Rhinolophus ferrumequinum: one gene and its partner. The main gene of each other region encodes a partner of the protein of the gene in region 2 in a complex. Links are inferred from orthologs where the notes say so. Each region holds a gene or a part of one and is shown on either strand. Other genes may lie near its edges.

Region 1 (3,741 bases), on a different chromosome or scaffold from region 2:
TCAGATCTGGGGCTGCGTCAGGGTCTCTCGCTGGGTGATGGGGTAGGACTCGCCTGGCAGAGGGCCCTGGCGGATGGAGGACGGAGGACAGAGATGGAAAGTCAGCCGGGGGAGACAGTTGCCACCTGGGCTTCTGGGACGCGCAGCTGAGGCTGAGGAAGCAGGGGTCTGGGCACAGTGGGGCCCGGTCTCCACGCCCCTCCCGCCACACATGGTTCCAGGTCCACCGGCAGCACTGAAGGAGCCTCCCCCAGGGCAGACTCAGCCCCCAACAGGCCAGCTGCCACTCAACGCAGCCCCCACCCAGCTGGGTGACCTCCAGAAGCAGCTTGTGCCCTCTGGACTCCCAGTGTGTCCCCTCTCTCAGGGCTGGCCCTCTGCTTTTCCCTGGAGTCCTCGGCCGCCTGGAAGTGACTGCTGAGAACGTGGTGGACCTGCTCCCCGGGGTCTTTCAGGGTCCGAGCACGCCCGGCGGCAGTGGCCGTGCCCCTTGCCACCCCTTGCCACCCCCTACTGGAACTCGGATGCACCAGACACTTCAGCCTCAGTTTATATTCTTACGTCTGACACTGGCCCCGAGCCCAGTGCAGGGCAGCCCAGGCTGAACTGGGGCTGCGGACCTTGGGGCCCGCACAGACTGGGAGGGCCTGGGGCCCAGGCAGGCCACTGCTGTCTCAGCCGGCCTGGGGCTCCGTGGGACTCAGAGGCAGCCACGAGCAGGGCCAAACTGAGTGTCAGTGCTGAGCCCAGGCTGTGTCCAGGGCCCGGCCTGTCGGGTCCCCAGCTGCTCCGTGGACCTGCTGGTGGGGCACTGTGTCGGGTGATGACTGCCTCCCTCCCGTTCGCGGTGACCTGGCAGACCCAGGCGGGCAGGTCTGGGAGTGAGCAGGTGAGAACACCTCCTTTCCCAGCAGACTTTGTCCCGTGTCAGTTTCCTTCTTGGCATCTCGCACCACTTCCTGTTCCAGGCATGGTGGCCATGCCTTCTCGGTAAGAGCCGTGTCCTGCCCAGCCCTGGTCCTCAGTCTTCTCTGTGACTGTCCCGCCCGCTTTCCCTCCCGCAGGCCCGGGTCAGTCTCGTGGTGGGGTGGGGGCAGAGCTTCCGCGTGAGCATCGAGGCCCTGGTGCCCTGAGAGTAGGTAGTCAGGGAGGGGGCCTGGCTGGGGGCTTCCTGAGCAGCAGGCAGGAGGGACCTGGAGTGAGACGGCAAGGGCCGGCCAGGCTGGGGCCAAGGCTCTCAGACGCTCCAGGCTCGTTACTCTCTGTCTCCCTCTCCATTCATAACCATTTCCTGCTGAGTGCCCCATGTTGGCCTCACCTGATTTTGCTGCAGTCCCCCTGCCCCCAGTATTTAACAGATTTAAGCCAGCTTTGCTGCACTTTGACATGAATGGAAGAGTCACTTTGCTCCTGGGGACATTTTGGGGTCTTTGGACATGACTGTGCCCCATCAGGGGAGGGCCTTCTCTGGTTCTGAGCATGAGTTTGCGGGGGCAGGCTGAGCCCACCAGCTCCCTAGAGTTCTCAGCTCTGCAGCTGTGGGGCCCCCTCCCTCCCCGGGGAAGCCCAGACGGAAGCCGTGGGCTCTGGCTGCAGCCTGTGGGCGTCCAGTCCGTGTCAGGACCCTCTGGCCATTCCTGTCTGATTTCTTGAAAGTAAGGTTGTGTCTCACATACAGCGTCGTCCCCAGTTGGGGCTGAGACCACGAGGCCTGCTCACCCAGGGAGTGGAAGGCTAGTCGGGGACACTTGTGTGTGTTTCCTAAAGCACCTCACGCACAGACACACACACACACAGGTACACACCCCACACATGGACACACATGCACACACATGCACACACATGCACACATACACGCACGCACACACAGACATACACACACACACACACACACTCTCTGTCGACTCCCACACCCCCACACACAGAGCTAGGGCTCAGGCCCCGCCCCCCTCAGCTGCCTAGGACTCCTGGTCCCTTTACAAGTCAGCCAGGAGGTGAAGTTGCTGGGCAGGGAGCCAGCAGTGGCTTGGCCTGGGCCAGGTCCTGGTCCCCTAAGGTTCCTGGGGCCTGAGCAGGGGTGACGATGGGAGGCTGTGGCACACGTGTGTTTCTGTGTTCTCGCTGGCATGGGCTCATCCCTCGTCCCCCACACCCCACTGAGAAGACCAACCAGCTTCTCATACCACTCTCCTCCACCTTGGCCCCCTCTGCCCCCTAATTCCGAAGTCCTCTGCAAGCATGCAGTGGGGTGCTGTGGACGTGGCCGAGACGCCAGGAGCCTCTGCCCTTGAGGGGTCGTTAGGGGATGAGCCGCACATAGGTCCCCTAGATGGCCCTGACCACCCCATGATGTGTGGGGTGGTCCGTGACCAGCTTCGGGTCAGCTGAGTGCAGGGCAGAGGCTGGCAGAGGAGCTGGGCACCCGCAGGGAATAGAAAAGGCTCTCGTGCCAGCTGTGGGGAGTGGGCTCAGAGAACGTGACAAGAGCTGAGGCTGGAGAGGTAGGTCAAGGACCTTGAGGCCGTTTAAGGAGCTTGGGCAGGAGGGAGCCACTTCAGTTTACACAGGAACTGATGTGAGTATGTTTGACACCTCCCTCTGGCTGAGGTCTCAGAGATGGTCTGGAGGCAGGGACCAACCAGAAGACTGCTGCAGAATCCAAGGGAGAGGTGACGGTGGCCTGGCTGAGGGAGCGGTGACGGTGGCCTGGCTGAGGGAGCGGTGACGGTGGCCTGGCTGAGGGAGCGGTGACGGTGGCCTGGCTGAAGGAGAGGTGACGGTGGCCTGGCTGAGGGAGCGGTGACGGTGGCCTGGCTGAGGGAGCGGTGACGGTGGCCTGGCTGAGGGAGCGGTGACGGTGGCCTGGCTGAGGGAGCGGTGACGGTGGCCTGGCTGAGGGAGCGGTGACGGTGGCCTGGCTGGCAGGCAGTGGTGGAGGTTGAGAGGTCAGAGTTGTGGGATGCCCAGAAGCTAAGCTGTCTAACACAACGCCCTTTGGTTTGGTTGTGTTTGTTCCCAGTATATAGAGATACTTTTTTTGTATATTAATCTTATGTCCTATAACTTTGCTAGTTCACTTACTAGTTCATTGTTTTGGGGTTTTGAGGTAAATGCCTTGGGATTTTCTGCATACACAATTACATGTCCTTTGTGAAACTTTCTAGTTTTCCTTCTTCCTTCCCTCTCTGATAGCAGGTTTTTTCTTGCCTCATCTCCCCTGGTTAGGACTCCAGCTGGAACATGCCAGCTGGAACACAGACACACGTGTGCCACGGCCGCCCATCGTCACCCCTGCCCAGGTCCCAGGAACCTGCAGGGGACCAGGACCGGCCCCTGACGCAGTGGCCCCGGCCCAGCCATTTTGAATAGAAGTGGTGAGAGCTGTTTTCCCTGTGGCTGACGCAGTGGGACAGGGTCTCCCACCACTAAGAGCGCAATTCCCTGCAGGTTGTCTGCGAGGCCTTTTGTCAGGTCAAGGGCCTTTTGTCATTCCTCGTTTGCTGAGCATTTCTGTCATAAACAGGGGTTGGGTTTTGCCAAATTATTATTATTTTTTGCATTGATTGAGAGGATTATATAAATGTTCTCCTTTATTAATGCAGTAAATTATATTGATTGATGTTCTAATGTTAAAATCAGCCTTACATTCCTGGGGTCCTTGGGATATGATTGACTTTATATGTATATATATTGCTAGATGCAATGAACTAACATTTTCTGAAGGATTTTTGTGTCTATGGT
Region 2 (3,741 bases):
GAGCTACAGGAGCCCAAATCAAAAGTATTATGGTTGCACTGCCAAAAAGAGAGACAGACCAAAATGGTTTTTACCACTTGAAACTAAATACTAAAAATGAAAAAGGAGGCTTCCGGGGTCCTTGCTATGGCAGTCTCTCTCCTAGCTGTCACTTGTTACCTGTCTCCTGGCAGCCCTTTCAGGTGTCCTGGCCTAAATCTGCTGTTAGAACAGAAAAAAGTCCCTTGGCTGGTCATATCCTCTGTAATCTGGCAGGAAACCTAAAATTTGCCTGCTCTTGTCCTCGGTCTGTTTGCTTATCTGCTTCCTTGTAGGGAAGAGTCTGCATCACAGTGTCCGGTTTAGGGGGATTTTCACCATGATCTCACCCTGCTGCAGCTACCATCCACTGATTTCATCGCGGCAGCTCGGGTGGGAATCCACAGTGAGATATTAACAACCCCTCCTAGCACATCTCAGATTAACTTCAACTCGTTCTTTTGCCTCGGTGTGTGTGTGGTCTTTGCAGAGGTATAAGAATGCCAAAAATAGTTGGGTGGGTGTATTGATGACGTTTGGTTATCGTTCGGCGCTTGGGAGACCAGGCTGTGAACGAAACCACCTTATTTTTGAAAATATACCCCAAACCTTCCCGGCTCGCGCCCGCTGTCTAAATAACTTTCCAGCCAAAAGCTTGGAAATAAGGTGCGCGAACGGTGACAGCAGGCGGAGGGCACGAAACCTGTGAGAAAGAGGGGCGGGAACAGTTAGGGAGCCCAAAGGACAGTGTCTGAGATCGTGTCTCGGGCCTCCAGGACGCAGGAAAGTAGCCCTTCTGCCGGGAATGGGCGCAGCTAATTAAAGGAAAACAGAAAGTCGGACGCCGCACGCTCACGCCCGGCCCTACCGGAGGTCACGTGACCCCAGCGGCCGCGCGTACGCGAGCTAGAGCGTAACTCGCCCGTAAAAGGCGGGAGGCGGGGGAGCGGCTGCTGCGTGCGCGCGCGCCCCCGGGAGGCAGCGGGCGCGCGCACGCGCCGGGGCCACCGCCCCTCTCGGGCCCGCCCTCCTTCCCTCCCTCCTGGCTCGCCCGGCCCGCCCTGCCCGGCCCGCCCTGCGAGTCAGTTCGCTCGTTCCCTCCCTCCCCCGGCGCGCTCGGGCCGCCACAACGCTCCCCGCCCTCGAGCCCGTGGTGCCGGAGTCGCCCGCCGCCCGAGGAGGAGGTGGAGGGAGCCGGAGGGGCCCGCCGAAGCGGCGGCGGCGGCGGCGGCAAGATGGCGGACTTCCTGCCGTCGCGGTCCGTGCTGTCCGTGTGCTTCCCCGGCTGCGTGCTGACGAGCGGCGAGGCCGAGCAGCAGCGCAAGTCCAAGGAGATCGACAAATGCCTGTCCCGGGAAAAGACCTACGTGAAGCGGCTCGTGAAGATCCTGCTGCTGGGCGCGGGCGAGAGCGGCAAGTCCACCTTCCTGAAGCAGATGCGGATCATCCACGGGCAGGATTTCGACCAGCGCGCGCGCGAGGAGTTCCGCCCCACCATCTACAGCAACGTGATCAAAGGTGCCGGGCGAGGGTCGGAGCCGGGGGACCGAGGGTCGGGGCTGCGGCCGGGGCCGGCGGTGACCCGCGCGGGGCCGGGCACCGCCCTCCTTCGCTCAGTCCCCGGCGAAGGACCGGGCCCAGCGGGCGGGCAGGATGGGGGCGCGCCCCGGGCACTGGCCCTTCCTGCCCCTGGGGCCTTCGTCCCCCAGGGGAGGGGATACCCGGGGCGCCCCGCTTTCCACTTTGACTCCCGGGTAGGGGGCACGTCTGGTCCCCCAGCCCCCACCGCGCCACTGGCCTCGCCCCCTGCGAGAGGGAAGTGAGGCGAACCTAGTGCACCAGAGTGCAGGGTGTCCTCGCCTGTCTTCCCTCCAGACGGGGCAGGAAGACCTGAGAGCCAGCTTCAGACCCTACACCCCCACTCACCGCCCCCCGCGCTGCCTGCCCAACCTCGCCGCCCGGGGTGGGTGACCCGAGTCGCATGGAGTCGGTCTGTTCCCAAATCCCTGCTTCCTTGGCCGCCTCCTGAGCAAAGGAGTTGCACGATCACAATAAGGAAACTTTTGCCGGAGATTCTTGTCAAGGGCGAATGGTGACAGCCCTTAGGCCCTTTTGAGCAAGGATATGAAACTTGAGGGTGTCATGTTTACTGTGCTGGCAATGAGGGAAGAGGAGACCCGTGCAGTTTAGTCTGCAAAACTTAACATCAGTGGTTTTTCGCCCCTCGGTCACGGTCAGGCAGGATGTTTGCCTGTAATCACTATGCAACACGTTCCACTCTCATTTTTGCTTAATGCCTGGGGGTGGGAGGGAGGGTGTGTACCCCCACTTGCTTCTGTTATTTAAATGAAATTGTGCATTCAGGTAAAGAATCTTTGGCCTAATAGGGATGTGGAGCCTGTACAGGTAGTCAGTGAATCAGTGTCAGCTTGGATCTAAACTCGGCTTTTATTGGACAATATTTTTAAAATTAAACTTTGTTCTTAAGTGAAAAATACATAAGAATTTTATTTCTGGGCTTTCAAAGAATTAGACAAGATGGTTTTTATTTTGTCTTTTGGTGGTGATTAGCACTCACTTGTCATAGTATCAGATATCTTCTACTTTATAAAAGACATTTTGGCAAATTGAGATACACAGCCTGGTACTTCAGGTGTATCCAGATTCTTTCATCTTTGTAGCAGTTATCTAGGAGTTTGTAACAGATTTCAGGTCTTTTCAGGCAGTGCTTTTTTCGGTCATTTTTGTTTGTTTGTTCAGGAAGTACTCAAGCAACTCATTGGGCTCACTTTTGTCCTCCCAGGACTGAGTAGAGGAGAACTGTTTGGGGGGCAAGGATTGTGGGGTAATGACGGGAGAAGAGCACTAGGCTGTAAGCTCCAGACCACAGGGAGCTCCGAGCCCTAGTGCCACTGCAGTTAAGCTGTACAGAACGGTTGTATTTATCCTATCTTAATGTTTAGCACAAAACTAATTAAGGTCTCTTTCAAGGCCGCAGACTCCGCCTTGCCAGTCCTTAATTGAAGGTACCTTTGTATCCTGATGTAGCTGAACTTAAGGAATTATGTCAGTGAATTGAGTCAACATGTTAACTGATTATGAGCCAGGTAAACACCTGGTTCTTAACTGTGCCCTGGGTCCTAAGTGTGACCCACTTTGAGCATTGATTATGAGATGAAGTAAATCACTAGATACATAACTTTTTTTGAGTTGGCATGATCAGAAAATTAACAGCAAAACAAGTGTTTCAGTTATCCAAACAAATGACTTCTTGATAATCATGTGACTGTTAAGATGGACCAAAGGTAACAGTTTAGTGATAGAAATACTGGGTTTGAACCAATCTCTGAGTTGAGATTTCTGTTTTTATGTACATGTTTTTTGCATTTGGTCTTCTTCTCTTTTAGGGAAATCTAAGGCCGTCTTGTGACTTAACACTGATTTGAAACTTAGTATGGAACAAGTTTTTTGAGTTTTGAATGTGTTTCTAGAAGACTCAGTGTTGCGTTAAGCAGGGTGCTCCAGGACCAAACAGAACATAGAGCGATAATGTTTGGTTCTTGGCATTTTATAAATAAATGTCTTTTTGAGGGGCTTAAAAAATCTTGGTTGTAGCCGTTTGCTTCATAGCCTGAACATTAGGCTATGCAGCCTAATTTCTTTTTTCTTCACTAGGTCTGGTTTTCTCATGACTACCTTCTACTCCAAAGTTATTTTATAAAT

Evidence for each region. Proteins that work in one complex are often made in the same cells at the same time.
Region 1: the proteins of GNA13 (region 2) and G-protein coupled receptor 35-like are in contact, whole or in part, in a cryo-EM structure (PDB 8H8J), measured with the Homo sapiens proteins. The link is inferred for Rhinolophus ferrumequinum from reciprocal best matches to the Homo sapiens genes GNA13 and GPR35. Residues at the interface, in NP_006563.2 of Homo sapiens: Lys46, Arg47, Leu48, Val49, Lys214, Asn215, Val216, Phe218, Arg331, Gln337, Gln338, Lys340, Pro341, Leu342, Tyr343, Phe359, Arg360, Asp361, Lys363, Asp364, Ile366, Leu367, His368, Asn370, Leu371, Lys372, Gln373, Leu374, Met375, Leu376; in NP_005292.2 of Homo sapiens: Phe45, Gln51, Thr53, Thr55, Met59, Asp113, Arg114, Ala117, Val118, Pro121, Leu122, Arg123, Arg125, Arg128, Ala197, Leu198, Arg201, Pro202, Thr204, Asp205, Gly207, Gln208, Ala211, Ala215, Met218, Val219, Ala280, Lys281, Glu282.

The regions. Positions count from the first base shown.
Region 1 is NC_046291.1:883,389-887,129, reverse strand, and holds the start of G-protein coupled receptor 35-like, read left to right. Parts: upstream 1-939; 5' UTR 940-990; intron 991-3,741. UniProt on the Homo sapiens protein: G-protein coupled receptor that binds to several ligands including the tryptophan metabolite kynurenic acid (KYNA), lysophosphatidic acid (LPA) or 5-hydroxyindoleacetic acid (5-HIAA) with high affinity, leading to rapid and transient activation of numerous intracellular signaling pathways.
Region 2 is NC_046304.1:45,092,140-45,095,880, forward strand, and holds the start of GNA13 (guanine nucleotide-binding protein subunit alpha-13), read left to right. Parts: upstream 1-1,020; 5' UTR 1,021-1,253; coding exon 1,254-1,536; intron 1,537-3,741. UniProt on the Homo sapiens protein: Guanine nucleotide-binding proteins (G proteins) are involved as modulators or transducers in various transmembrane signaling systems.